4 linked regions of the Styela clava genome follow. The protein of the gene in region 2 interacts with the protein of the main gene of each other region in a pairwise test. Links are inferred from orthologs where the notes say so. Each region holds a gene or a part of one and is shown on either strand. Other genes may lie near its edges.

Evidence for each region. The genes of interacting proteins can lie anywhere in the genome.
Region 1: the proteins of ligand of Numb protein X 2-like (region 2) and E3 ubiquitin-protein ligase MYLIP-like interact in binary tests that used the Homo sapiens proteins (3 or more experiments, as listed by UniProt). The link is inferred for Styela clava from reciprocal best matches to the Homo sapiens genes LNX2 and MYLIP.
Region 3: the proteins of ligand of Numb protein X 2-like (region 2) and dual specificity mitogen-activated protein kinase kinase 5-like interact in binary tests that used the Homo sapiens proteins (3 or more experiments, as listed by UniProt). The link is inferred for Styela clava from reciprocal best matches to the Homo sapiens genes LNX2 and MAP2K5.
Region 4: the proteins of ligand of Numb protein X 2-like (region 2) and 60S ribosomal export protein NMD3-like interact in a two-hybrid assay, tested with the Homo sapiens proteins (3 studies listed by BioGRID and IntAct). The link is inferred for Styela clava from reciprocal best matches to the Homo sapiens genes LNX2 and NMD3.

The regions. Positions count from the first base shown.
Region 1 is NC_135262.1:4,060,291-4,068,168, reverse strand, and holds the start of E3 ubiquitin-protein ligase MYLIP-like, read left to right. Parts: upstream 1-4,854; 5' UTR 4,855-4,863; coding exon 4,864-4,913; intron 4,914-5,416; coding exon 5,417-5,609; intron 5,610-6,410; coding exon 6,411-6,601; intron 6,602-7,108; coding exon 7,109-7,300; intron 7,301-7,681; coding exon 7,682-7,878. UniProt on the Homo sapiens protein: E3 ubiquitin-protein ligase that mediates ubiquitination and subsequent proteasomal degradation of myosin regulatory light chain (MRLC), LDLR, VLDLR and LRP8. Activity depends on E2 enzymes of the UBE2D family.
Region 2 is NC_135258.1:3,219,719-3,227,588, forward strand, and holds the start of ligand of Numb protein X 2-like, read left to right. Parts: upstream 1-4,863; 5' UTR 4,864-5,311; coding exon 5,312-7,870.
Region 3 is NC_135255.1:21,646,506-21,653,738, reverse strand, and holds the start of dual specificity mitogen-activated protein kinase kinase 5-like, read right to left. Parts: upstream 3,025-7,233; 5' UTR 2,972-3,024; coding exon 1,613-2,971; 3' UTR 1-1,612. UniProt on the Homo sapiens protein: Acts as a scaffold for the formation of a ternary MAP3K2/MAP3K3-MAP3K5-MAPK7 signaling complex.
Region 4 is NC_135257.1:11,931,589-11,938,511, reverse strand, and holds the start of 60S ribosomal export protein NMD3-like, read left to right. Parts: upstream 1-3,899; 5' UTR 3,900-6,151; coding exon 6,152-6,923. Other genes in the region: fructose-1,6-bisphosphatase 1-like, read right to left, coding at 703-909, 977-1,096, 1,168-1,305, 1,454-1,594, 2,029-2,121, 2,213-2,375, 2,472-2,641. UniProt on the Homo sapiens protein: Acts as an adapter for the XPO1/CRM1-mediated export of the 60S ribosomal subunit.

The DNA of each region.
Region 1 (7,878 bases), on a different chromosome or scaffold from region 2:
ATGGATTGTTGTATGGTCCCAAACGTCATTCGAATGGCCTCATCCGTAGAAGCCACTTTGGGCTTTGGGCTTATTTGACATAATGTCCACGGATGACGAACGAATATTATTCTGTTTTTGCTGCTCAATGACTTTGGTTAGAAGAATAATGTTTCCCCCGAAAAATACGTTGTCAGTATCAGAAGAAAACGAATAATTAAATTATCTGATTCCCGCTCCGTGTACCCCGTTACCAGAAAAATCTAGTGCTTGTTACGTTATTCCTACTGATACCAAATATCGATGACTACATTCAAAGGAGAAGTAGTGCTGTAGGAAGTGGGGTGTATTATTAAGTGTGAGAATTAGTAGGAAAAATGAAATAGACAAAGAGAAAGAACATAGAGCCCAATATAAAAAATCCTAGTACACCGCAATACATTTTGATTGACGAAATGATAAATCGCTCTTTTAGTATTATTAGGAATAACAATTTTTACCAAGGTCGTTAAAATTTGAAGTTGAGTATTTTGATACTAAATGAAATTGTCTAATTTGTTTTGACACTTTTATTCCAAAATTTCATGATCGTGCAGTTTTTGAAGTTCAGAAATCCGCAAATTGGATTAAATCACCAACGTAGATTACAAAATACGATTTCGCTAATTGCTAAATCCCCCGAAGCGAAAAAGTACTTCAAAGTTACGACGACGACGAAATTACCAGCTGATCGCTGTAAAGGGGATCACGGCAAAGTATCAAATTTAACAGTGCGTTGTCTAGCACCATAATCGACCAAGGGTGAATCGCAGTAACAGGGCGCGATTTATCACTCTCTCACATTCGGCATGGGATAATATATAACCTCTCGATTTCTGAATGAGGGAGATCGTTGTTTGTGATGAAACAAAGAAAATCATTGAAGCATGTACTGACTCATTTGTCTCGACAGTGTGAAATCTGCAAAATTGTTTTTCTGTTTTTTTGTTGTTAGCAAACTGTCGTTTGGAGCAGACGTGCTGCTGTCGCTGTCACATATATATATGAGGATATTTTGGAGTTTGGGAATGCTAGAAATATTTGTGGTAGAATTTCTAATATATAACATATGCGGATTCAATATTTCCAAAAGTAGACACAAGGCAAGAGTTCCACGTTCATAATTTGAGAGGAAATATATTATTTCGACATAGTGATATGACGAGCCATATTACCTCTTGCTCGGTACCGGTAACGGGTTCAGATCGTTTGACCAGTTAATTGAAGAACGTTCAAGAATATGGATTTTGTGGGTCAGCGTGTTTAACGAAATTGCAAAATTTTTCAAACGCTTTTGAGTTTGCATAATATTATGAACATGAAACTTTTCGCAAATAACAATATTTTTTCTGTGGTCTGTGACGTCACTCTCAGCACATCGTGGAAAACGAACAAAATATTTACAATGCGAGTGAGTTTGTGGCTTTGTTGTGTTACGAAGCATTTTATTTTGTTTGACAAGCGGTAAATATTTTCTATTTGTGCGGCCAACTAAAGGCGGTAGTGCCACAGGGGCTCTGTTTGGAATTTATAGTTTAATTATACATTTAGTGCAAGGTGTCCATAAAGTCCCCTTGCAATTTCAATTCTGTTTTGAAGTCAGTTTTCAATATATCTTAACCAGGTTTGTTGGTTTTTAATCAGTAATTGTTCTGGTATATATACTTTATTCATTACATTTGTGGTGGCATATGATATCGATAAATTCCCTTTGCAATTTTAAAATATTATTTCAGACTTTATGGACCCTACATATTGGTGTATGGCAATCTGTTAGTCTACGATTGTCATTACATGTTCTGAATGTTCATCTGGGTTACCAGTCGCATGTTCGCCTGTTTCTGGGACCTAATATGCTTTTATATTACGGTAAATGTTAAGACCTACGGTACTGATACTGAGAAAAATAGAGATTCATCCACTTATGCCTAGTAAAGGCGATTGATTGAAATATATTATTTATTAAACCTTGCTTGCGTTCCCTCGTTGACTTATTAAAATTTAACCTTCATAGGTTGTGAATTGTCGAGATAAGATCGAATAGAATTTCCTGTTTATCTTTCAATGTATATGAAAGTTGCAATAGCACTTTCTGATGTAATTTTTCATAAAGAAGAAAAATAAAACGCGATGGCTAGCCTACATGTTTCAATAAATACACTAAGAACAAGTTTTTCCAATACACCGAAATAAATTTATTTGAAAACAACAGCACCCATTAATTGTGCTCAGTGTTTGTTTACGCTTAAATAATGTTTTTATTTCGTACCAGAGTTGATTAAATTATCCGAAATGAAAGAAGATTTTTTTCAACCCATTTTCACACATATACCTGTGATATAAGGCCAATTTTAAATTGTGTTTCCCCAATACGAAGACCGGACACCGACCAACCATGTAATGTAATAATAATCATTTTCGTCTCCTCAATGTACTTGTGTATTAGAATATTTCGTTGTAAAATCATCTATTCAATGCAAAAATATAATAAAATTAAACTTCCGCAGTGAAGTTCAATAGAGGGTGTTTTCTATTAACACATATCCTCGTCGATTGAGTAATTTAAATATTGCTTCGTGTAAATTGATTATTTACAAGTCGAAATCAATGTCCCATTGCGCCGCAACACAAGTTTGACATGTTTTTCCTTGTTTTGAATTTCCGTAACTAACAGTTGGGGTTACGTGAAACTAACTACCTTTCCTTGCTCTATGGCTTTGTGCTGATGAATCCGTATGCGTATTACGCAAGGGTGCTATATAGCAAGAGTGTAAATGACTATTCTATTCAATTCAAGAGTCTTGCTGCACACTTACACAAATATATTTCTGTAACGTTTCGTCTGACCAAGGTCAGACTTCTACAGACAAGCATTTTACAACTATGACAAGAAACGCAATTGCATGCACATAAATAATGGCATCAAAATTTGGGTTAGAAAGAAATAACTAAGATTGGAACAGTGCCAGAACTCTAAAACCGAAATTTTGATACCATTTTTTATGTGCATGCAATTGCGTTTCTTGTCATAGTTGTAAACTGCTTGTCTGAAAAAGTCTGACCTTGGTCAGACGAAAAGTTACAGAAATATATTTGTGTAAGTGTGCATCAAGACTCTTGAATTAAATAGAATTTAAATTTCCGATTTAGAGAAAATTGATTTGTTGTTTATTTGATGGTTAATCGACGAAAGCCAAGTTGACGAGGTGCAGACGTGTTTCGTGGGCGGAATCAAGAACGACAACTTCGAGTAAATATGTTCGCCGTATCAGTATTAGTGTCTTATATTTCTTGTATAATCGATTTTAATCGAGAGCAAGCTTTTTACGGTACGTTTTCGCACATAAGTGTGTTTTTTATTGCCTCATTATTTTGTTATATTTCATGCTTGACCACCGTCATACGAATATTGCAATGATGGAATATCCCTGTCAATCATTTTTAGTACTATCATTTAAATTTCACATATTTTTGCCCAAACACGAATATCAAGAATTAAAAAAAATGATTGAAGAAAAATTTGAAGGAAGATTTTCGTGTACATTAGCCTTCCATCGCATCATACATACCGATACTAGAAACTTGTGCAAAATTGCAGTGTACGCTTATAAATAATGCGCAATATATGAGTACTGGATGAATGTTTATTGGAATACCTATGTGCCTTATACTATTATTTCATCATTATATACAATAAAACTGTAGTGAAACATGGACCATATGCAACTATCCGTATTGCATTGATGTGTGATGAACAATTCAGGTCAGGTATATCGTCACTTCCGGGATTATTGTCCATTCATCGTGTTTAATCGATGATTATTGAGTTGAGAGGCTACGGTTGGCCATTCGGCAGAGAATATTATTTTATGCAAACATTTTCTGACTTTAGGTTAAATGGGACTCTAAAAAGATTATACAAATAACCAATTTTCATCACCAAACCTTTTCAAAGAGTACATCGAAAGAAAATCTTACCTGATAATTGTGTGAGCAAAATAAATCGAGTGGAAAACCGCTAATAAAGCAGCGTCTTTGCGGAACTGGCGATTTGTACCATAGAGTAGCCTATCACTATTCCAAACGGGTTTTGCACGAACTCGCTTCCCCTAAAATAACGCCGAAAACTGGAATGGCGCAATCGTTTATATTGCTTTAATAACTTTTGATGGCATGTAATTGCCGGCATAACAAATTTGTTCGCTATATTGCCTGCAAATTTGGGTGTCGCATTTCAAACTTAACGCAGAAACCCGTTCTAAACAAATTTGATTTTGGTTGCATGTTATGAAGGAAGTATGATAAAAAAAATTTATTATTTTGGCGTGTGGTTAAGAATACTGGTGTTCAGGGCAAGCGATTTGGTTGAATTTGAAGCTCAAAAAAAATGCTTAAACTCAATTTAGTTTCGAATTCATAATTTGACGCATTATTGAATGTAAATTTACCGAATAATGTTCACAAATTGCTTTCATAAACAAATTTCGATTTTGCTCACAATTGCGTTACTGTTTAATACAGCGTTTTTGGTCGCCATTTTGCGGTACTTCAGATCTAGCAAACAACAGGTAATGCCATGTTTATTTAATATTAAAGAATTAATAAAAACGTCGAAATGACGACGGAATATACAGGTTTAAATATTAACAACGCGAAGGTTGCTTTCATACACTGAATCCTTGTAACCCAAACGAGAGAGGTTACTATCGTTCACAAAATTGGTAACCCTCGGTCATATCGATATGTTTCGCAAGTAATGTTACGTCACAGTACACGATTGACCAATCACAATGCGAGAATATTTCACAGCCAAACAAAACCAGCTGACGCTCCGCGATTCGGTAGATGAAAATGTTTCCCTCGGAAGGTCGGTGGCGGTCATCCCTCGCTCTTCGGTTAGTGATCGTTACTTGAAAAAAGTATCAAAAAGTGCGCTTTAGGCTGTAATATTACTAGCTAAGCTTAAATGGATAGTGATGTTGAAATAAAGACTATTCTGTAAAACTGTGGGCTGGTAAGCGTGTCAAATTACCAATTTCCTGTGACCGCGTCGGTTCAGCGCTGCAGCAAGTCAGTCGCGAGGTCTTTTGTTGCAACATGTGCGCGAAATTTGGCAACGGTCTAAGATAAATACACCTTGAATAAAGGGTTGAAATATTTGTGGTATTGTAACTTAGACAGACAAAAGGATGAAGGAATATCATTAAATATAGTATACCAGAATAGAGTGACGTGAAACAGTGAAAGGTAGCCTACCGTATGAATGCGAATTTGCGATTTTCTGTAGTTAAATGCGAGGGAATTGTCAAGAAAGTATGTAGTTAATGTAGCGACTTCATTGTCACTATATTAGTTACAAATATTATATTAAGTCAATTCAACACTGATTATTTTTCAGACAAAACTTACTTATTAAAGAATTTTTATCGAAAAAAACTTGCACAAGTGGTGCAAACATGAGTCTTCAATTAGATTTATACAATTGGCAATCTGGTCAGATACTGTGCTATGTGTCAAAACCTGACACTCGACCTGTTGTTCTGGAAGTTGATGTCGACAGACATGCAATTGGACAAGATATTTTAGAGAAGGTACGGTACTTGATTATTTTGTAACTAACTTTTGAAATAAACTTGATTATACCAATAGAAAAAAAGGGGTCTCGCGAAGTAAATGCCGTGACTGCTTGAATACCGCTGAACACAAATGTGATATTGAATGCTGTGAGTGCTTAAGTAACGCTAAACAAAAATGGAAATTGAAAATACAACCCAATTTTTTTTTAAATAAAAAATCGTCTCTCGCAAACACAATATCCCTGCTCAGTTGAAAATTGAGTAGGTTTGATTTGAACTAAACGTGTGTTTCAAGAGTTTCTTTCTGTGTCATACAGCCTTTTTTTAGTTACATTAATATTTCATAAATTATCATATTTACCTAGATATAATAAAGTGTAGAACTTCAGAAGCAGAATCTTTCAAATGTTTTCTCCAATTTTTGCTTTCTTTGAAATCTAGTATTTGAAAATTTGGAATTTTTATACCCAATTATTGCCAAAATAGTAGTATTTTATACTATATTATTATTAATATAGTATTAGTATAATATAATATAGTATAGTAATATTTTATTAGTAGCCTACTTCTATTTGAATAATTTGTTTGGCTTAAAAGTACAAAATGGCAACTCATTAAAAAGATGGAGAATTTTATATTAAGTTCATAAAAACATTTGATTCTAAAAGGAAAAGATGACTGTAATCTTCTGTAATAAGCAAGATATTGACAGTCATTTTTTTATTACTTCTCTTTGATTTTTTTGCTTTTGAATTTTAATCCCATATGATGAACAGCAAGCACTCTTGTAATAAATTATGCATATTAATTTCAAAGGTCTGCGATTTGATCGGCACCGTCGAAAAAGATTACTTTGGTCTTCAAGTATGTCCAGTCAAGCGTGAACCTTTCTGGATGAATCTCCGCAATAGGGTCATAGGTCAAATATCTGGTCAACCACCATATCGACTAAGATTGCGAGTGAAATACTACATTCAACCTCATCAGTTACTGCAGGAATCTACCAGGTTTGTGGATTTTTTTTGTTTTATATCAATTTATCAAGTATTCGACACCAAACCAAAATTACGATTTTGTCCTCTTTTCTCTGTTGGTTCTAGTTTTCAAGTGACAAATTTATTTCCATCAATTTATCAAATGATTAATTGGCAAAGCATAGTTGTTCAAAACATCCAATTACGGTATTCAAATGCATTTCTTCATATTGAATATTTTGAATTATTATTTCATTTGGAACATATCACTCACAGCTGTTTTAAACATACTGTTGTTTGGTTCATTCATTTTCCTAAACATGATTCAATATAAAAATCAACTAAAAAAGTTTTGTGGAATGCCAAACATGCTAATATTCAAAAGTTAAAAAGTAACCATTAGTGTAAATGTTTTTATATCATATCTTACATGAATTTATAAAAGGATTCAGGATTCCAAATACACTAATGCGAACTATCTAATTCTATACACAAATTTATAAAATTCGTCAACTAATGAAAAAAATGAAACTATTTCAGACAAATCTTCTATTATCAACTTCGCCAAGACGTCATAGACGGGAAGTTAACAGTTCCGCAAAACAAAATCCCTCAGCTTGCGGCGTACCTTGCACAAGTTGAACATGGGGATTGTTCTGCCATGGATTCAACGAATATCTATAAAAGTTTGAAGTTCGGGGACAAAGTTTTGACAGATGAAGATATTACTGGGTTAGTATCTAGCAGATTTGAAGACACTATATTTCTTGCTATATTAAACTGAACTAGCCCATTTGATTGAATCCTAGCTAAGATGGTAATCATTGAAAAAACATTATGATTGGTGTATTATTCACAGATTAGAATATTACAAATGTACTAATTAAAAGATATATTCAGTTTGAATTACCTGCTCAATTTTTGCGAGTTTGAGATCATTGATTAAACAGTATTTCGAGTGTTGTGATGAGTGTGGCTACTGGCCTAACTTTCACAATACTGTACCTAAAAATATTGTTAAATTTCATAACATAATTTCTGTTTGCCCTTTTTCAACAATATTAATTTTGTTATGGAATTGGTAGTTTAAGTAAAGAAATATTTATTTTTCAGAATTGCTGATTTTCACAAATCATTAGAAGGACAAACACAATCTCGAGCCATGTACTTTTTCTTGAAAGAGGCAGCAGATTTGCCAAGTTATGGGACAGAGGTTTTCAATGGTAAAATTGAAGTACCGCACTCCCACCCTCATATGCCAAATCTCTCTCCTGCAGACACAACCAATGTTTTGATGAGAATTGGTCCAT
Region 2 (7,870 bases):
CTTATTGAAATGTAAAAAAAAATTTTTCGGTATCATACATCGCATGCACACTAGTACATACACAGCACCCTAGCTGATACGATCCAACTGAGAAATTAGAAATCTCAGAACCCCCCTCAAAACTCCTGGCAATGCCCCTGGCTCCGATATTCGCGGCGTAGGTATGTTACCAAGCTTTATGGTGACTCTGAAGAGACTAAAAAATATTTTATTTACTGTGAAATATTCATACTGGAAAATATTCAACAAGCTTACTATCCCGATTATTCAAAAATGGAAAACGAAGGCATTATTCTAGAGAAAAATATAAGGGATGCCATAAGCCCATAACATTGCATAAAATCTATGTTGCCTGTAACTAGAGAGGTACAAAGTATGCTGTTCATTAGCTATTTTGTGGAAATGAAACTCAAAAAAGTGCAGATAAGAATACAAGTTTTATCAGTTGATAAGATGAGGCAGAAATCATAAAAAATAATGATAGTACACAAATATTGATACACGATTATAGTAATACAAACACCTAGATTATAATAAAAATTCATTACTGAAAATATGAATATATAACCATAAAGAGAGTTGATTAGGATACTAACCATGATTTAGTGCAATAAGTCATGTATTGTTTTTACATTAATAAAAAAAAAAATGCTCGGTTAAACGTGAAGAGAATAAATCTCACCAAAAGTAAGGAAATTCATCAATTGGGCCCCACTGGCAATCAGTATCACTCAATACATACTCAAAATAAAGTTCAAATTTTTATCTGGCTTGTGGGAATCGAACTATTAAAAACACACTGAATCATAGTTTCCCTTGAGCAGCCAGTTTTATTCGCAGACTGTCTGGCATTTCTGGTGGTGGCGGGCGAGGTAAACGGAAATAAACTTTCACTGAATCATAAATAAACCACTGAAGGGCAGTGACAGTACCAATCATGATAATACGAGCTGTGAGACCTTTCCAAATTCCGACTGGCCCTAATTTTTTAAGAGCATCAAGTGGAGAGCTACCAGCGTCATTATTAAGTACAGACACAACCGAGTCAGGAGGATGGGACCCAATAGCGCAGAGTACACCTGCGATGTAACCAGCGACAAACGTAACAACCAGCTGCTCTGGCTTGCTGCATTCATCTCTCGGTTTTGGCACAACATACTTGTACATTGCCTCTACTGTTCTCTCAAAACAAGAGAATTTGATCATGGTATATGGAATTTGCCTCATCCAAAGTGGAGGTAAACCTTTGTAAAAGGCAGTAATACCCTCTTCTTTCCACATTTTAGGAAAAGCTTCACGTAAAGTATTTGCAAATCCTGGCTGAGTTTGAATTCGTACTTTACAAGCTTCCATCGGTGCCAAAGCTATATCGGCAAAAAATTCAGCAGAAGCACTTGCCGCCAAATATAAACTTGTTCTCCATAAATATGATTTTTCTTCACCCAATAAATTCCCATAAAAATTCTTAAAAACTTCATAAAATCCAAATTTGCCAAGTCCTTGCATTGAATAACCGATAAAAGTAGGTGCCCATCCTTTACCTAGGCCTCGAATGCCTTCTTCTTGTATAGAGACTCTAAAACCGCTGATAATCCCCCTGTATTTATCTGGCTCAACTTGTATTCTGCATTTCACCAAATCAAGAGGAACCATGGCAGTATGAGTTAGACCACAACTTAGAATCCCTCCGAAGCCACAGATGGCATAATATTTTGCCGATCCAAATTCACAACTATTGCCAGTTTCCTCTACTGATAGTATTCTTGTATCTGCAGGAACTTCAGAAAGTTCTGTGAATTTTGCCTTTTCCTGGCATATTGCTTTCATATTAGGCATGCCTAAGACATTCCCATTTAAAATTGAGTTGACCATATCTTTATTCCTGTATTCCGTATTTAAATACTGAAATACCAATATAGAAAAAAGGATAGATGTTAAGTTGAAAGGCAAACATAGGATTTTCATATTTATCTCAGCGTAGAGTGAACTGGAAAGTCAATAAGATTGCTGAATGTTAATCCAGTACCGTAACCATAGGCAAAGCAAAGTTTAAGGTGCATGTCATTTACTGTCTCAATTTCCCACAACTTTCACAAAAGGTTTCCGATTTTCTACAAGAACAACCACACAAACAAAATAACAGTAACTCTGTAACTGAGAATAACAGAAACTCTGTAACTTACCGTAACATAAATGTATGAGTATCATCGCCACTTATATATCTGTATATGCTGCCGATGTCTTCATTGTCTTTCTATATCGCCTTATTTGTGCAAGCCTATGATGTCATTCTGATGTAACGATGGTGCAATTTTGATGACGCGCGCCATTACGTCCTAACATACGTCACGAATTAGCGACGGTACTTTTCAAGTTCTTGGCGTTGAACAATTACCATAGCAGACCTGGGAGAATTGATTACTATCTTTGCTACACGACGTTCTGAACTTCTGACTAAAATGAAGTGCGGCTATACACGGATTAAACGCTATATGAAGTGTAAATACATGAGATTGCGACTGGGTAACGATAGTAATACACTTACCAAGGTACGGATGATTACGATACTGTAATTCACGCGTTTCGATTTGAAATGTAATTTGTTTCGATGGTACAGTATTATGCATATATAATAATTACGTATTATACAATATTTCACACTATCCAACACGGAATAAGTCAATCAATCAATCAATCGTTTATTTTGTCATCACAAAAAAACACGTTCAAACATAAAGTGACACGAGGAACTTATATGGTTTTACATAAGAATAGTGGTTATTATCGACGGTTACATATGGCCAATCCTATATATGACCCCCACAAAATTCTCAGAAGGCTGAAAAAGTCACCGTGCGATTGCATTTTGTTAAAATCACCGATTGTTTTTATCAGTGGGGCGTAGGCCGTAAACACCTTTACGTTTTTTTTTTTTTTTTTTGCCAAATTCAAATCCATTGCCAAATTGGATAAACCAAAACTATAATTTTTATAAAAACAATTTTACGTTGGTATTTATTCTCCTAAATCACAAATTGTTGTTGTTCCAAGAGCAAGATGATGATTGCTTTTTCGCACGGAATTTTGAGTAAACTGTAAAAAATGAGTTGTTATAGTGTATTCATCAGCGATGTGATGCTAAAGATGATAAAGGGTAAATAAAACGAAGGGAAACACAATGAGTTTTGTTTTAAGAGATCCGCGTAAATCGCACAATTTGTTTGGCTACCGTTGAAAATTTTTCAGCTTGGCAATATATTTTTCATAAAAGTACTGTTCACTCCCATTTATAAAATCGATCAATTCGGCAGTGGCAAACATTATAAATTTATTAATATGGTGTGGCAATCATGGATTAAATACTTTGCCCGTTCGGGATTTTAACGCAGACGCTTGGGTTTTTCCAACGGCGATATTTCAAAAATAATTTTGAGTAGCAGTCAGCGCTGAAAGAGAATAATTCAAAGTTGACACATCCCAAGGTTGCAAAAATTCGAATCCATCTATTCATAACCGGGTATAGTGTATCGCGTATTACATGTCCACAAATTTTCATAGTTTTTTAGAGTAGTCCTCCCTTTGTTTTACCGTAAGTCAACGCAAAGGCGATAATTATTCGCTGAAAAAATGTCTATTTTAAAGACTGGAGTAATCACGGCACTCGATTTAGAAGTTATTGCACGGGAATTTTTGAATTCCCATTTTGGAACCTACCTCATCATCATTCTCCCCGCCCCCCCCCCCATCATTTTTTTTTGTAATTCTGGCTACACCCCTATAGGGACCCGACACTCGAGTTTTTTTTTGTGCGAATTTCGTTCATGTAACGCTGGTCGGTTACGGCTTTTTCTATCATCAAGTCCACACATCTGAAAACAAATAACTGGCTTACTAATTCTATACCCGACAGGAACTGGTAGCTGGGCAAAAGGCCTCAAGTCAACTTTCTCATCTCTTGTATATTTATATTCTGTCCTAAACGATTTCTTTATGCACGAAATCGATGCTTGGAAAAACATTCATCGTGTTTGTCTGCTTTTTGAATTTATTTTTAATTTCGTTCAATCCCTTGGAAGCATTACTTTCATTATTGCTAATTGTTTTCAAATCTTTTCAGAGCTTTTCGAAAAATTTTGTTGATTTTGAAAAAATGTATTTTAAATACCTATATAAACAAGTTTTGTCTTCAGGGTTCTAGTCGGGACTGAAAACAAAGAACAGTTTTCGAATTACATTTTATTGAAAATTAACTTTATTGGAATAAAACTAATACAATGAAATATATTATAGTGAAAACAGGGAAGGGGAATTCTGATGTTATTTCAGGTTTCAGATAGTGCGCACGTCCGTCTTCCCACCGTTGATTTTCTACATTGTATGTACAGGTGCAAATCTTGTGGTTTGCGGCCATAACCGTATACGAAGTCGACATCTTATAAATATAATTAATAAAATTTAGCAAGTCATCGGCTGTTTTTTTTCCGCAGTGGAAAGATTATTTTTGATAGGAGTATTGTGAGAGGCGTGGTTTGGTTGATGACTTGAATTAGGCCTCAAGAGGTCGTGTGTGAGTCACCGAGAAATTACCTCCTCCCACGTACGACTCACAAGTTCGCCTTTTAGTTCAACATGGTTCAACCGCCTTAGTTAAGTTTTCTTTTTCATATTTGACTTCAACCTTCGAATCAGTAGACCCGGCAGATTTATGTAACTACTAATTATATTTCTAGAATGAGTACATATTGATGGTGTGTATTATGCAGTGTAGAGCAGACTATTATTTCCTTTAATGACGAGGAACACTTGAAGTTACCGGTATCTATGGATTTACATTGTTTACTTAGATACCGGTACCGCGATTGCGCGATACCGGTACCCCTATAAATAATGTTATCTGGAATGGCTGCTTATGGGGTCTGGTGTAGTTTAGTACCACATGTACTTCTAATTGGCTTGTGTCATCACTACGACGTTACTGTGACTTATCAAGCCCCTCCTGAACTAGATACAATTTATGCCAGTCCCACGATTTTTCAGTTTAAAATTTTTATTTTTTTTTAGTTGTGTTTTGTATTTATGGTATATTATTTCACCAATGTCTTTCATCTTTTTATATCTAACCATGGATAAGAATTCTGATATTTATTTTCATGTTTCTATAATTTGGATTGTACACAAGGAATTTAATTCTTGGTTGTAAGATAGAAAAATAAACGTATAAACATTTGTCTTTTTCACATCTTTCTAAAATTAGTTCCAACTGGGCTGTTTATTTTTTTCAAGTTATATATTATTATTCAGTAATCGTATTATGGAATACTCTTATCAAGCTCCTGATTGCTTGCCAGGACAGAACGATCTTATAGACTTCAGCTCAGATAGCAGCGTGGGCGTTCATAATCAAGAAGAGGGGGGTGAGATCGAATCCTCCAGTACTTTGACGAAAAATAGAAATCAAATTAATAGAGATGTAGTGGCTGTTAAAAGTGGGACTGGGGATATAGGGTTCGTCGCTGTCGGACGGCCGACCTCAGAAAATTCGATCTCAAAACAAAAGCATCGTAAAACACGATCGAACATCGAAAAAGAAAGCTATCACTCAGATTCGTCTCCTCGATGCCCTAGTAGTGGAATTGATAATCTCGGATACCAAACAATTTCAAGAAATGAATCGTATAGTTACGATGACACAGGACTTAGTTATTGCTCTGAACTTGAACGATGGGGAAATACTGAATTTTTGAACACAAATTTAAGTTCGTCTCAACCGGAGTATGTTTCTGTCGAAGGGGAACGTTATACTACAATCGATTATTCAAACGCTACTATCCAGCATGTCACAACCAATCAACCACGTAACGATAGAGGAGGACAATTTGTGGAGCTTCCAGAAACATCTGGACAGCGTACGCAAATTTCTGATACAAATCGATCGTCTCGTCAAGGACGTCAAACACCATCTAGTGATAGAGAGTCGTCCTATTCATCGCACTCGTCTCGTGGGAATTCACCAGTTGAAAACGAACCTAGTACTGAAATGAGGACATCTAGTGTCGAGAACAATGTAAACGAAACGACTCACAAAAGCACATCACCTGTACCTAAATCACCACCGTTATGCAAATGCTGTGGGCAGAATCACGGTGTTACGGAAAATCATGAATATAATTACGTCGACGAAGTTGATGAAGACCTGATGTGTGATATTTGTCTGCAACCACTGGTTGATCCCTACGATACAAAATGCGGACACACGTTCTGTTCTATTTGCATCAAAAATTATTTAAGAGTGAAACACATTTGTCCAGTAGATAGAGAAGAATTAACCAACACAGCAACAGACTGTTGGCAGTCAAGTCTAATTCTACGAAAACTAGTTAACAAATTAACAGTTACCTGTCCGCATGAGGAATATTGTGATAAAAAAATACAGCGCTGTGACCTTAAGGGCCATTTAAAGGAAATATGCCCAGGGGCCGTTTCACGGTGCCCTAAATCGATGTATGGCTGTGATCATAAAGGTCCAAGAGCTGGTATCGAAGCGCATTTGAAAATTTGTGCTTTCAAGGATAACAATGATAAGCTTTCAGATTTGCACCCTTTTTCGGAAGAAGTTGTCGTTGAATTGTTTCGACCAGAAGGTACAGCTGAGCTTGGATTGCTTATAGTCGGTGGTAGTGATACGCCGTTGCATTATATTATTGTTCAAGATATTTTACCGCAGAGTTTAGCGTTTCAAGATGGTCGTATTCATGTTGGTGACATTATAATGGAGATAAATGGAGAACCAATGTTTTCAGTAATGCATGCTGAAGCTCGTGCTGCGCTTACGAAGCCGTCTAATTTAATGAGGTTTATGTTGTTACGAGATGTGGACAATGAGGACCCCAGTGACAGCGTTGCTTCTTTAGTCAGAAAACCAAGCTCTTCTGCATATTATGAGGAATGTGTTGGCCTCATCAAACCTCCGCTTGAGCAGCTCGGGATTCGTATATCTTCTAGTGAAACCGGAGCGAAAGGTGTTTATATCATTGAACTAATCCCGGGTCAAGTTGCGGAATCGGACGGTCGTCTTCAAGTCGGAGACAGAATAATGAAAATTGGGAACACCGAAGTCGGTGATAGTACACCAGAACAAGCTGCTAGAGTTATCGGAAGTTGCGATAAAGAAGTAAAAATACTAGTTCGCCATCCGCTGGTTAAACCTACTATAGTCTGTAACGAATGGGCTCATGATTCAATAATACAAAGGCAGAAAAGTGCTTCAAATGATGCATCTACTTCAATGTCAAAATCCACGAATCCGTATTCGCCGCAGCAAAAGAAGTTGTCAAAATCATCCCACACGAAAAAAATAATTTCTGTCACAAAATCACCAAAGGAAAATTTAGGAATCATTGTTTCAGGAGGAAATGGGAGCCCTCGTGGAAATCTACCAATATTTGTTCAAGATGTTCTTTCCATGTCAGTATTAGGTAAAGACAAGCGAATACGTCGTGGCGACCTCCTTTCAGAAATAAACTCGATACGTTTAACTGGTCTCTCTCACACTCAAGCAATGAACGCATTACGGGAATCAGCTCAGCAAAGAGAAGTTACTCTCGTTGCTTACGAATTAGAATATGAAGGGAAAGCTGAAGACACAGCTTTATGGGATGAACTGACTTCTCTACATCAAAATCCAAGTAAATGGGCTCCATCTTGGAAAATGTGGCTCGCTGCTACACATGAGTTTTCATCGATACGCGAGGTGGTTTTACGGAAACCTTCTTCTACAAATTACGGATTTAAAATCACGGGAGGATTTACAGAAGAACATGGGCCATCCCCGATTTTTATTACGCATATTTCCAAAAATTCAAGCGCGAAT
Region 3 (7,233 bases), on a different chromosome or scaffold from region 2:
TGAATTCATAAAAGGGCACTATAATCTAAGCTGCAACTCAAACACTTTAAAATATATTACAAAAAAATTATAATTGTTGTCCAAAATTCATTCATAGTGTTTATTTTGATAATTTCAAATCTGTCAAGTTACTAAAGAGGGGGAGAGATGGAATAAATTATCGGCGGTGATTAGTTGAGCTTGACGGTGTGGCGCATCGTGTTGAGTGTTAGGGATACGCTTGCCGGCGCATCTCTGATTACCCTGCTTGATTCGAACGTTCGAATTCTGTGGGGGGATTCAGAGCAAAAAAACAAACGAAAATATAGAAAAAGTGATTGTATAGCAAATATACAGCAAGTGCATATATGATGACTTAGTATGCGAGGTGATAACCTAACTTATCCTAACCTGAAACTGTCATGTCATTCTACTACTACTGAACAGAGCCCAAAAAACAGATCAGAAAATAAAATAGTGTCTAATGTCTGTCTTATGTTAGGTCCCCATTTCTCAACCAATGAGCTATGGCCCACTCCTTGGCCGCAGAAAGATTTCGAGTTAGGCCACAAAACAACCAAAAATTGATAATCTGATTTGTGTCACTATTGTTAATTTTAATTGTAGTACCAATGATTGATCGTGCTGTTTTCTGCTACTGAATGGTATATGTCATTCTAATTATTAAATTGAAATTATCCATTTTTGCAAAAAAAATTCGTTTTATTCTCGTAGTTTTTCATTTGCAATAAAAAGTTGATGGACCACATGAATTTTAGGTTTCCCTATATTTGAACCCATAATTTGAACCCATAATTTGAACCCACGACAATTGCACCTGCATACTATTGCACCTATGGAAATATTTTTCGTTTTATGGATATTTGAACCCATACTAACCCTAACCCATGGGTTTTAGCACCCGCATATAGATTGAACCTGCCGCGGATGAAAATGTATGGGTTCAAATGTGCTGTCATCGAATTTTAGGCAAAGAAAATGGGCCACAAAAAAAGGTTGAGAACCACTTTTCAACCTTATCTAAGAAAATAAATCAGAAAATTAGTGGGGAAAATGACTTATATTAGATCAGATCAGGGTAAGTTAGGTTATCGTCCCGCCTTCAAACCTAGTCTAAGAGAAAAAAAAAGTCGAAGAAAATTAGGAGGCTAAAACAAGCTAATTTTACTTTATGAAATTTGCATAATCATGAAGAGACTCTGAGTAAAAATTTTTTAAGAACTCTGATAAAATAATAATCTTGAGAGAATTTGCTCGTTGTGATGTACGCTCACTCGGTAGGAAAAATGACTCATATCTGAGCAAAATTATGAGCGACAACAAATGCCAAAACCTAATGAGCAAAAATAGCAAAAAAAAATAATTCTGATTTTCTGAATTTTGAAAAAGGCCTTTGTTTTTTTTTTAATCAAAATATCCTGACCAGTGGTTCTTTTTAGCAACAGAGCCAGGGTTCAAACCGCCGCAGAAAGAATAGTTGAGAATTGCCGATCATGACAGCTTTGAACATAAATCCTACTTTATACCAAAATTATAAAAAATGAGAAACAAATTAAAATCATATTTAAGGTAATCCAGAGAAAACTAGTAAAAAAAATATCATCGTGCAACTTTACTTTGATTTTGCTTTATTCTGCTCAACCCAATTGGCAATGACTTGATCTTCGTGGTCGAGAATTTGACTGATTTGAAGAAATGAATGTTGGGACAAAACATCAGGAGACGGGCGAGATTTCGCTTCTTTTTGTAGACAGCCGTTAACGAAGTCGACAATTTGAGAAGAAAATTTGTCCGTTGGTAATTGTGGTGGGGCTGCGTTTACGATACATTGTAAAATTTCCATTGGTACCACCCCTCCTGAGCTGCGAATTTTCATAGCTAATTCTGGGTAGGGGTATTCCCCTGTTGCCATTTCACATATGGATAACCCTAAGCTCCAAATGTCCGAGTAAAAAGTATAATCAAAACCTTCGACCCTTTCGGGAGCCATGTAGGCGTTCGTACCGATATAAGTTTTAGCAATTGAGTTCACAAGCTGACGGCTGACGCCAAAATCGCATAATTTTACTTGTCCGTTACTGTTCACCAACATATTTGAAGGCTTCACGTCTCTATGCATTATTTTTCTCCCCCATAAAAATTTTAACCCCGATACTACCCGGTGAGCGATACGCTTTAGAACAACTTCTGGTATCTTCCCAAAACGGTCCAATGAACCTCCGTCCATGAATTCAGTGCATAAAAATATTTTATTTTCGTGCGAAAAAGCCCCATAAAAGTCTATAATCTGCGGGGAACTATTACATTGGCTTAAAATTTCCAATTCTGACTTTATTCGGTTCTGTTCTTCGCCTGTTAAATCAATTCCAATAGACTTAACAGCCATCACAATCCTCGACGCTTTGTGAATTACTTTGTAGACAATTCCGCTGTTTCCATTTCCCAATGTTTCTACGTAAGATAATGCTCGACTGGACAGCCCCTCCATTTCATGAAGCTCTTTTTTATTTTCATTTATACCCTCAGTATCTGATTCCGGAATTCTGTATTGTTGCTGGTAGTTTTGTTCGGCAGCAGTTGCGCTTGATTGGGTCTGTAATTTTGAAGAATTTGAGGTTGATTGTTGTGTCGAGGAAACAGCATTCTGCGCGATGAGTCGTTTTGACGGCGCAATTTCAAGCTTGAGACCAAATTTGTTACGATTCCCGGGGTTTTTGCAAAGTTTTGGACGAATAGTTATTCTCTCTTCATCTTGGCTTCGATAAAATTCAATCATTGAGTCCAGATCGCCTTGATTTTTCACCGTTATTATATCTTCCTCCTCATCAGCGTACTCAAACGCTGACACAATCAATTGGTCATCACTGGCTTGATAAATCGCATCAAGAAAATCACTGAACGTAACATTCTCCGGTGATTCAACGATCCAATCAATTTGCTTTCCATCTCTAAACGAAATCCTTATCAACATTATCAATATTACTGGTAGATTAGATAATTCATATCATCTTAAAAATAGAAGATAAATACATATATAAAAATATAATTTCTAGTGAGCAATGTAAGTTATATAATTCGGCGCTCCAGAAGTGTGTGTACCAATATGAAGGTAACTAGTTTTGTTCGCCTACTTTACATCAAGTTGTGTAAAAGGACTGAAACCTATGAGCAGGAGGTATATTCACTCGGCTTACACAGACAGTCCTTGAACTCGTAATAGAACTAAAATAAAGAAAATCGAAATAAAATTATGGCCTAACCCTAACCTGGTACACACATTACAGAAATACCGATAATTCATACGGTAAACTGTCTTGAAGCCAGTTTCAGTAATTCCAAACTTTTCAAATTAGATATTAGAACCTTGCTTGGTAACAAGCTTTGGTACTCTGCAACTACCCTTACCCAGTAAAAATGGATAATTCTCGTTTTCTCGTAATTTGTGCTCGAGTGGTGTTTTTTTACTGGTTGGAAAAAAGAAACTTGACTTGAATACAACAGATATTCCTTGAGCCTCTGGATTGATTCATTGAGATTCCAGTCCAATAAAAAGATTGATAACTACTGCTCTGTGATGGACTTCCAATATTGAAGAAGAACTGATAGTCCATATATACGGTAGTTTTAACTTTATTACTAACTCTAAATTCTAATTTAGGGAATCTAAATTGAAAAGACATTTACACAATTAAAACACACAATACTGAAATAGCATATCGGCAAAAATTATAGCAAATAATAAGGAAATAGACTACCCTGGAACAATTTAAACCCATATCCCCCTGTGAATTAATGAAGCGTGCCCAGTCGGAACAATCTTATCCCAAAGGAAGAGTACCAATGCTGCCAGTTTGTGCTTGAATGAATTTTAACAAGGATGAAGTCACATTGTACTAAAGTAAACTTAGACCATACAATGAGCGGAATGTTCAAAAATCCTAAAATGATTTTGTTATGAAGTCATTTTTCAATATATCTTGATAACCAGGTTTGTTTTATTATAATCAGTGTTTACCTCATTAATATGCCTGCAAACAAACTACATAAGGCATCGATAATTTCCCTTCGCAATTTTTTTCTTTTTATAAGGAAATTTGCCCAAAGTAAAATCATGCGCACTCAGTCGGAAATATGGGGAAATCAATCTATTAGCAAGAGATGGACGACTCTTAAAGTGACAAAAGCTGACTGTGAAAGAATGAAGATAAAATAGAGCAATGGAAGTATTACATCAGCATGAATAAAGACAAGTCACAAGACAAATAAAAAATATTGTTTTTCACACTTTTGTCACTCTGAACAAGGCTTAGACAAGCAACCACTGTTATGTAGGGGCTATAATGAATTCAGGAGCCAGGGACTTACCCAGGGGGGGATGGAGGTTTGTAGGTTTCTCCCCCCCCCCCCCCCCCTCCGCCATTTCAAAAGGGAAAAAAAAAGATTCTGTATTATACATAGTAATTTTTTTGCTTGAAACGCTTTTTAAACTTCCATGTTTCCGAGCCAGCCAGCTGCTACAGTCTAACTTGGCAATTGGAATAGGAGAAAGGGTCCGAAGTTTAGAGTTATATCAAATTATCACAAATATTGAATTTTATCAAATAAAATTTGGCAAATATGATCTAATTGGGGTAATTTATTTGGACTCAGATATTAAACATGTTATTTTTCCCTAAAAAATGACAAAAAAGTGTAAGTAAAATGATAGCCGTTCAAAGAAATGTTTTTAAAAAAATATACAATAAGCAAATTAACACAGATCACTTTCTCAAGAGTCCCCAAGACGAATTGAAATTTTCAGGTCTCAGTAATCAATTTAAAAATAAAAATAATAGAAATATCAAAAACATTACTTGAAAAAGCAGCAAAAAAAATGAGAAATATAAGCAGTGATGCATATCATGTCAACAGTCACGCATGAATTATCAAAATGACAAATTACTGATTTCAGTAGTATTCACAAGAATAAAGGATAAGATGGGTTTTTAATATTTACCATGGAGGGGATGAAATTAAATAAGTAGACTTATCCCTATGGCCTTAATCATTCACGCATGAGCCAACTCATTCATGCATGACCAAACTCATTTAGGCATGACCTAACTCGTTCATGCACAAACATATCAATTGGAAAATACTGTTTTGCCACCTGCAGTATCAAAACGAAGGGAAAAAATAAAAATGTCTTGAATATAGCTTATAAAATTTACAGAAAAAAAGCGATGAGCATAAGAAAAAAGACGAACACACAAAACTGAGCAAAATAAAAACTCTGTGTGATTCTGCTGAATTATACAACTAGCATATGTTTCAAATGCTGCAAGGACGGAGATATTTAAATGCATCGAGTGATAAATCTGCTTAAACTCTTTTATATTATCTAAACCAGGGGTGGGCCAAATGCGGCCCGCAAGGAAAAATTGTGCGGCCCGTGAAGAATTAACAATTCTAAATGGTGTGCCCGCAAAACGAGTATTCATCCTCCGTCGTCGCAAAGCCTATACCAGTCCTTTTAGCAAAACAAGCTAGCGAAATTCTGTTGCAAAATACACGATATAGGTCCTATTACAAAAACGTGTTTCTCACTGAATGGGTTTAAAGTCGGTGTGACAATAAAGTCAAATGTGCGTTTCAACTCACTATTTGTGCAAGAATCCCTAGTAATGCCGTAAGATCACTAGCAAAAATAAACGATTTTTGTGCTTGCAACTACTGGAAAGTCTAAATTAAATAAAAGTTCGCCCGCAGATTCACCCAGTTAATTGTATTTGGCCCGCTAATGAAAAAGGTTGCACACCCCCGATCTAAACCAGTGGTTTCCAAAGCTGATTGACCGCGGCCAAAATTAGAGACGGAAGGATATTCACAGGCCGAAATAGAAAAACGCCCGCAAGGGGTGATACTGGCTCTGTTACTTATAATTAATTGGAAAGTGTAATTGAATTGTCACGAATATACATGTGCTTAATCGTCTAATCCGAGAGCGTCCATGTCTTCTAATTCTTCATCTGAACTCTCTTCGTCCGTATTATTATTAATATCCATGTCGGTTATGTCTATATCGAAAGTTAATTTTTCCACCTCCCCAGGGATTTTTACTCCAAATTTTTTGCATAATTCTTTTAATAATAATAATGATGTAACAATTGGCGGTATCCAGAACGTAAAAACAGAAAGTGTTCAATTATTTCACTTGAGTTCAGCGGGCCATGTTAAATCGATACTAGGGCCGTAATTGGCCTGCTGACTGCGGTTCGGGAACCACTGATCTTAATAACAGAGTGTGACCCCTACTTCAAATAAATTTGTAAGAAAAGCAATATCTTGCCCATAATTTTTCAATTAACAACAGTATAATAAGCTTCCATCTCATCAAAGCATTATCAACAAAAAAAAAGAGGATAAAATTTTGACTCAAATATGGCACTGATAGTCATGAGTCTAGCCAACTGATTTCAACCAAACCAAGAAATCAAAAACAAGCGGCATCAGTACGTTCACATTAGGATCAAAATATTTGGACAAGTGTTACATCATATCAGGTTAATCAAATCTTTTATGCCAAATTCAATACACACAACATACTTGAATGTCGTACATAAAAATAATATACTGTGATTCAAGAGTCTTGCTGCATACTAACAAAAATAAATTTAACACAAATAAGAAATAAATTGACAAGAAAACTTCTCTATTCATCCTAGTTTCATTACTCGATAACGTTATTTCCCAGGGTGTTTTAACTTTGTTGAGCTTGAATTGTTCGGACATAATGGGATTTGGAATCTACCAATCAAAACAACACCATATATACCACTGGAATGATAAACAGTGAGCCATGAGTGCTAAAAGCCTTCGTAAGAGAGCCATAACAGGTTGGGAACCACTGTGCTACAGCATCTTTACAAATCGCATATCCAATGCAATAGCACAAAGCCACAAAGGAAGGGATAGGGAGTTCGTCTCGCGTAACCCCAACTGATTCAAAACACACAACAACATTGAAATGTCGTATAAAAATAATATACTGTGATTCAAGAGGGTTGATGCATACTAACAAAAATGCATTACTGTAGAGTAATTTCATTCTTACTATAGTACCCTTGCATTGCACGCACACAGATCCATCCCCTTAAAGACACAAAGGAAGCGTAGGGAGTTAGTCTCGCGTAACCCCAACTGATAGTAAAATAATTTTATTGAAATTACAATCTTTTGGACTTAATTTTTCCC
Region 4 (6,923 bases), on a different chromosome or scaffold from region 2:
AGCAAGTATGAGATTCCTAGACACTCTAATGCTAATACAACTATTGACGGACAATATGAATTTTATGATACGTCGGGAGAGGTGTTCCACAGGATGTAAGATAGCAGAGAAATCGATCCCCAAACATACACCCTGCTTAATTTTTTGCCATTCTCTAATTGTGCTTAATAGTGGGTGTGCAGGTTAATATTCAGTAGTTATTTCACATCAACTGGGAAGCATCAAGCCACATTTATATGGCTTCATCTCTGTGAACTTTGTCAGATAAGAGTCCAGGTCTTATCTTGCCCAAATATTTGCTAAACCAACTGCTGCTTGTTCCTTGACATGTGGCCTTGTAGTTAATGAGTTCTGTTATCATTTCGTCAATTGTGGATTTGCAGCAGACTTGCCAATAATACTTCAAGGTGGAACAAGTCATTCACTGTAAATTTCTGCTGCAAAAAGCCAACTTGTAGCCGAAGATGCAATTTCTATCACCTATATCTTCATCTTAATTAAGCTACTACATATGACAATTGGCAGGTTGGATATTTATTGAATGGTTAATAAGAAATATATAAGTCATAAGCGCACAATTACTGCTTGAATGAAATTAAGGCACTATTCAAGGCAAATATTCACTCCTGTTTTACCATTATATGAAACTATGCTACTATCACATATCATGTCAGGTTTGTAGAGGTAAAGAGAAATTAGAGATTATTTTTCATTAGCGACATAATTTTTGTGTTTTTTCACAATTTCCAAGTATTCATCAACGTCATCAGGTGACCCCAAGAAAACTGGGACTCTTTGATGAATGTTTTCTGGGACTATATCCATAATACGTTGGTGTCCAGTAGTTGCCTTTCCACCAGCTCTCTCCAGTACATAAGCCATGGGTCCAGCCTCATACAGAAGACGTAGCTGAAAAGCACACACAACATATAAAAGAGCTGAAACAGAGTATGTAAATCTCAATTGTAAATATTACCTTTCCGTTTGGGCTCTGGCTGTGTGCTGGATAAGCAAATACGCCACCATAAACCAGAGTCCTGTGTACATCTGCTACCATTGAACCAATGTAGCGAGCATTGTACGGTTTACCACCATCCTGTAAGTAAGCAAATAGTTATAATACTTTGATGAAAAAGTCATAATTTATAACATAATAAAAATTGTTACCTGTGGAAACTTCTTCCTGTCAACATATTCCTTTATAGCAGGATCCCAGTACTTCGTATATCCTTCATTGATGCTGAAATATTTTCCTTTCTTTTTGATTTTGATATCTTTCTGTGTTAATATGAATTCACCAATACTCTAAATTAAAACAGAAAATCAGTTTTGCATGTGTTTTCAACCTAATATATTGAAAAAGTAAATACCCATTTCATGGCACACCTTACCAAACACTACAGTCAAGAGTTTTAAACAAACACACAAGATGATCAAATTGTACGAATCTTACAGGATCCAACATGAACATGTCCACTGATAGCTCTGTTGCAATCACAATGACAGTAGCACTTCCATAAAGTGCATAACCAGCTGCCACCAAATTATTTCCAGGCTGAAGAGCATCAGCGGCAGTAGGTGGTCCATCAGAAGCCTAAAAGCAAATTAAGAAATGGGAATAGTTTACACAGTATTATTGACCATAGGTTCTCAAAGTACTCCGTAAGAGAAAACTTGGGGCTATGCAAGCTATTCATTTGATTATTAAAATACTGAATATTTTTCAAATACAAAGCAGTAAGTACATCAGAATCATCAAATAAAGTAATTTTTGTTTACTCAGGGACATTAATCAGTAAATAAAAACGCGTTCTTATAAATTAATTGCGGGGCTCCGTTAATACTACTCAACCACTGCAAGGGCTCCGTAACACCAGAAGCTTGAGAATACCTGTTGATTGGGGTTGTTACTCTCATTACTTGATGAACTGAACATATTCATTATTATTATAATGTCACATAACCATAAGTCTTCCAAACCACTTTGATATTATCCTCCGACCAAAATATAAATCTTGTTCTACTCACCTTTTTAAATATACCAAATATTGTTCCGATGGATACCAGGCAATCTATATTTGATGAGCCATCCAGAGGATCAAATGTCACAATATATTTTCCCTGTGAAAAGATGTTGATTAAAATTTATACTTTGGTAGTATTAATCTAGTTTTCAGAAACAGTAGGCAAGGTCATAAATTTCAGTCCTTACATGCTTTTTTAAATCAACTTCAACCACATTATCGTTTTCCTCGGAGACCATCAGACATGTACTGTAAGATGACCTGAGCAAATTCACCATCAAATCATTAGCAAGTACATCGAGCTTTTTCTGTTGATCACCAGTTGCATTTTCCGTACCTGATATGCCATATCTGTGAAATACAAGGACATGAAATTTTACTTATCACAAGTTCATCTGTTTACAAATACATAAGAATTCTTGAAAACACAGAAATACCAATACTTACAAGTTTGCAATTCCAGCCCTTCTTACAGCTGCAGAGATAGCTTTCACAGCAGTACAAATGCTATTCAATAATTGTGACAATTCACCAGTTCCGCCAGCTTTTCTACCACTTTCATTTATATGCCTTGTCAGAATACAAGGATCTGTGTCCAATTGCGTTTCAGTTGACATTGCTTCTGTATTTATTAACTAGCAGCTATTGCACCGATAGCTAAAGAGTTAGAAAAGTACTTTAAAGCTAAATGGAAAAATGTGTAATTGAATAGATCATAATTTAGTAATTAGATTTGATTTGGCTTTACCCTACACGAATTCATGATTTATGTAAGCTTATTCCAGTATGATAAATTATTCCCAAGACAGCAATATTTGATTGGCCACAAATTCAAATGAAGTCTGAAAGTGGTCCTGCCCACCTTCTCATGCTCATGCACTCAACTTTGATTGGACAATTTCGCATTTGACTCAAATATAATATCGTGACAACATTTCATTTATAAATATTTTATTTATTAATCACTCTTATTTACAAAATCGATATTCAATTTAGCAACTGTTATAAAATTATTAATATGGCATGGCAAATAATTTTTATGTGATTTATTTTAAGTTTTTCCTGATTTCCTAACTCCATTGTGAGTTATTACTCTGTGGTTGTGCATGGGAATGTGTGTGTGTAAATTTATTTGATAATTTTAGATGAGTGAACATGCATGACATTTCATTTTGGCAAAACCCTGACACTTGCAGACTTAAGGTTTTCATTGCTCTCCTAATTCTATTTCTGTATTTATTTGTTATCAATTATATCCCCGCCTTTTATGCTGATTATGGGGTCGGAAAAAATTAATACTAATGTGTGTATGTCAGTACTGCAGTAGGCATATACAATCTTGACACTTTGACTAACACACTCACAGTTATCAAAAGTTAACTCTTCAACTGTTTATGGCAATAGAATTCCCAGATTGTGGATGAATATACGTTAGGGATAAAGCTCTGGTGCTACACTAATCACTTAACTAATTACTGAATTACGTACCGTATCGTAGCATTTGAATTCACAATCAACGGTCTCGTAAATCATCAAATTACTGCGAGCAGTCTAAATCTGGAACCTTTTCTGCTCTATGTAAAACGAACGCATAAACCGAATTTTGTTTAGATAACAACAACACTGACACAGGACAGCATTTGATCATCGTAGGTTGAACATTATGATGTAACTATGCTGCATTCGAATTTCCAAGCATCACGTATACTTTAGCGATTTCGCAACCGGTTGACTAAATCATCAATGATATCATCCAATCAGGTTCTCCGTAAGAGACGCGCCCATAAAATATTGTCCAATCACCGAGGAAAAGTTAGACAGTGGCAAACAGAGTCTGGCAGGGAGGCGTGTTTAATTAACGTGGACTCGCCGGTCATGTTTAGTTGACCCACAAACGAGAGTTTAATTTTTAACGATTGGTTAAAAATTGTAGTGACGGATATCGATAACCATAGATAAGTAATTTGGTAATCACACCCGATGTCAAACTTATCCCTCTTATGTAGAATTAGAAAATACGGTACCGGTACCGGTAATAGACAAAAATTCACGTCAAAATTGCCGTTCACAATGACTCGGCATGAAGTTTTTATATGTCATGATTTGATAATAAATCAAATTAATCAATCCATAAAAAGTGGAAATAAGAAAATTGTTTGAATATCAATACTGTAGTACAGTACAGACCGACTGAAACATGGGGTCCAATTTACAAATAACACATGGCTTGTTTGTTAGGGTGGCTGAAAAATGTGCTCTATTAAGATATATTTCAAATTGCCTATTAATAATAGTGTATCCCATGTTTTTTCTCTCAGAAATACTATGGAACTATAATCAACATTCTGGCTAAAATGTGTTTTTTTGTGTAAAAAAATAAATATTATTGAGCGATTCCATTCGATATCAGATTTAGATATATAAGGACTCTCCATAGAACTGCCAGAAGCACAAGATGAAGTAATTTAGTCAAGATATAGACGATTAAAAATTTCATCCGAAGTTACAAACCATCGGAAGTTACCTGCTTTTACGGTACAACATCACTGAAACTGATTTAATTCAAGAAAAGCATAGACATTTATATACGGTAATAAAATTGTTAATAATTCGAAGGGTGAAGATAGAATTGTTTTTTTGAGAGATGGTAATTTTATAGGGGCTTGTTCAAATATACATTCTAAAATTTTGGCCAATAATGTAAAGATTTTCAATTATAAATTAATGTGGGACATTTTATCAATCAAAGTTAAGCCAAGAATAAGACATATTTCTGGGGATAATATTTGTGTGTTATGTAAATAAGATTCTGAATTTGTGTCTCATTTGTTTTGGAATTGTTTTTAAACAGAATGTCTATGATTATATCTTTTCTGTGGCATTAAAAATGAGAAACTGTGTGATGAAAAATATTTATAAAACTTGCATTTTATTGGACTTAAATGATCACTGTTATTCAAATTTATCCATTATACAACGTAACTCTAATATATTGTTATTTTGTACAGCAAGATATAAAATTTGGTTGGAGTGTAATGCTGTGATATTTCAAAATCATAACCTAAGCATAAATAATGTTATTACGGTATGAAAATTAGGAACTCACTTATAATGAGAAGAAATATAGAAAAAGGGAGAAAGGAATTTTGTTATATAAAAGAACTTGCCATGATATGTAATAAATTGTGACGGATTCTAAAATTAAGTTTTTTTATGCTAAATAATTAAAAATAAACGATGTAATTTGTATTACGAAATCAACGAATGAATTATTGGAACTCCCTGGATTATATGGAATATTACATCTGATGGAATTATCTTGATATTACTGATATATATGTTTCTTCACTTTTAGTACACAAGATGTCTTAACATATATTTAATTTATATATTATTTACTTATTGAATAATCTACATTGTGGATCCATTTGAAGAAAAAAAAATGCATGCATTTTCTAATTATATGCATAATAATGTTAATGTGTTTTTTGGTATAATGGTATAGTAACAGTATGTCTGTAAGTTTGTTTAATTTTAGGTCCAACGCAGTGCTATAAAACTGTAAAAAGTAATGACCTGTTGTAACCCAGCTAATGCAGTTCTGCAGTTAGGCTATGACAGATAATTCCTTTGAACACTATTTTACTATGTGTTCATTTCACATGGATGATGTTTGTTAGTGGTGTTTGTTTTTGAAGCAACTTTTATTTTGTACATTCTCATATGGTTTTCTGGTTTTGGTGTAATATTAACCAAAAAATTTAGCAGACTAAACCTAATTAGGGAGTAGATGAGATATGTACTAATATTTGTAAATAAATTTAAATTTTTAATTGAACTTCTTATTGACTTGAAGTTATTATGTATGAACTTAATCTTACCGAAGTCTGACATATTTACATATGTATGCACATCTCAAGTTTATAAACATGTAAATTGTTGGGCATGATTTAGAAAATATATAGTGAGAGGTAGGAAATAATATATGTATTTGAAAATATTATTTTTGAAATATTCCGTAGACTTTTAGTCATTCCTGGCAATATCTATTATCTGAATTACCAGTAACACATTTTCTTTAGGAATCACACATGATCAAATATAAGTAATTTAATTTGAACCTGAAAATGGAAACAATGAGTGAAATGCCCTCAACCCAAACAATGGACACAATATTGTGTTGTGATTGCGGCATTCCTATACAACCCAATCCAAGTAATACATGTGTCGACTGCCTTCGTTCTCGTGTTGATATTACTGATGGTATACCAAAGTCTGGAAATTTGCTAATGTGCAGGAATTGTGAAAGATATCATTCTCCTCCCAATGCTTGGACAAAGGCAGCTCTTGAATCGCGAGAACTACTCGCAATTTGTTTAAAACGGCTCAAGTCAACGCTGTCAAAAGTACGTTTGGTGGATGCTGCATTTGTTTGGACTGAACCCCATTCTAAACGAATTAAAGTTAAAATTGCTATTCAAAAAGAAGTTGATGGTGGCACATTCTTACAGCAAACTTTTGTCGTCGAATTTGTTATTCATAATCATATGTGCAATGACTGCCATAGGATAGAAGCAAAAGATTTCTGGAATTCTGTTGTACAAGCTAGACAAAAGACAACGCATAAGAAGACATTTTATTATTTGGAACAAATTATTCTGAAACATAAAATGCACTCTACATGTACGAAGCTATCTGAAAATCCAAATGGGCTTGATTTCTTCTATTCATCTAAACAAGATGCCAGAAAATTTACTGATTTTCTTATGAGCATGTTGCCTTGTCGTTACCAGTCAGCACAGCAGTTAATTTCGCATGATGTCCATACAAGTACCTATAACTATAAAACTACTTTTTCTGTTGAAATCCCTCCAGTCTGTAAGGATGATATTGTCTGTT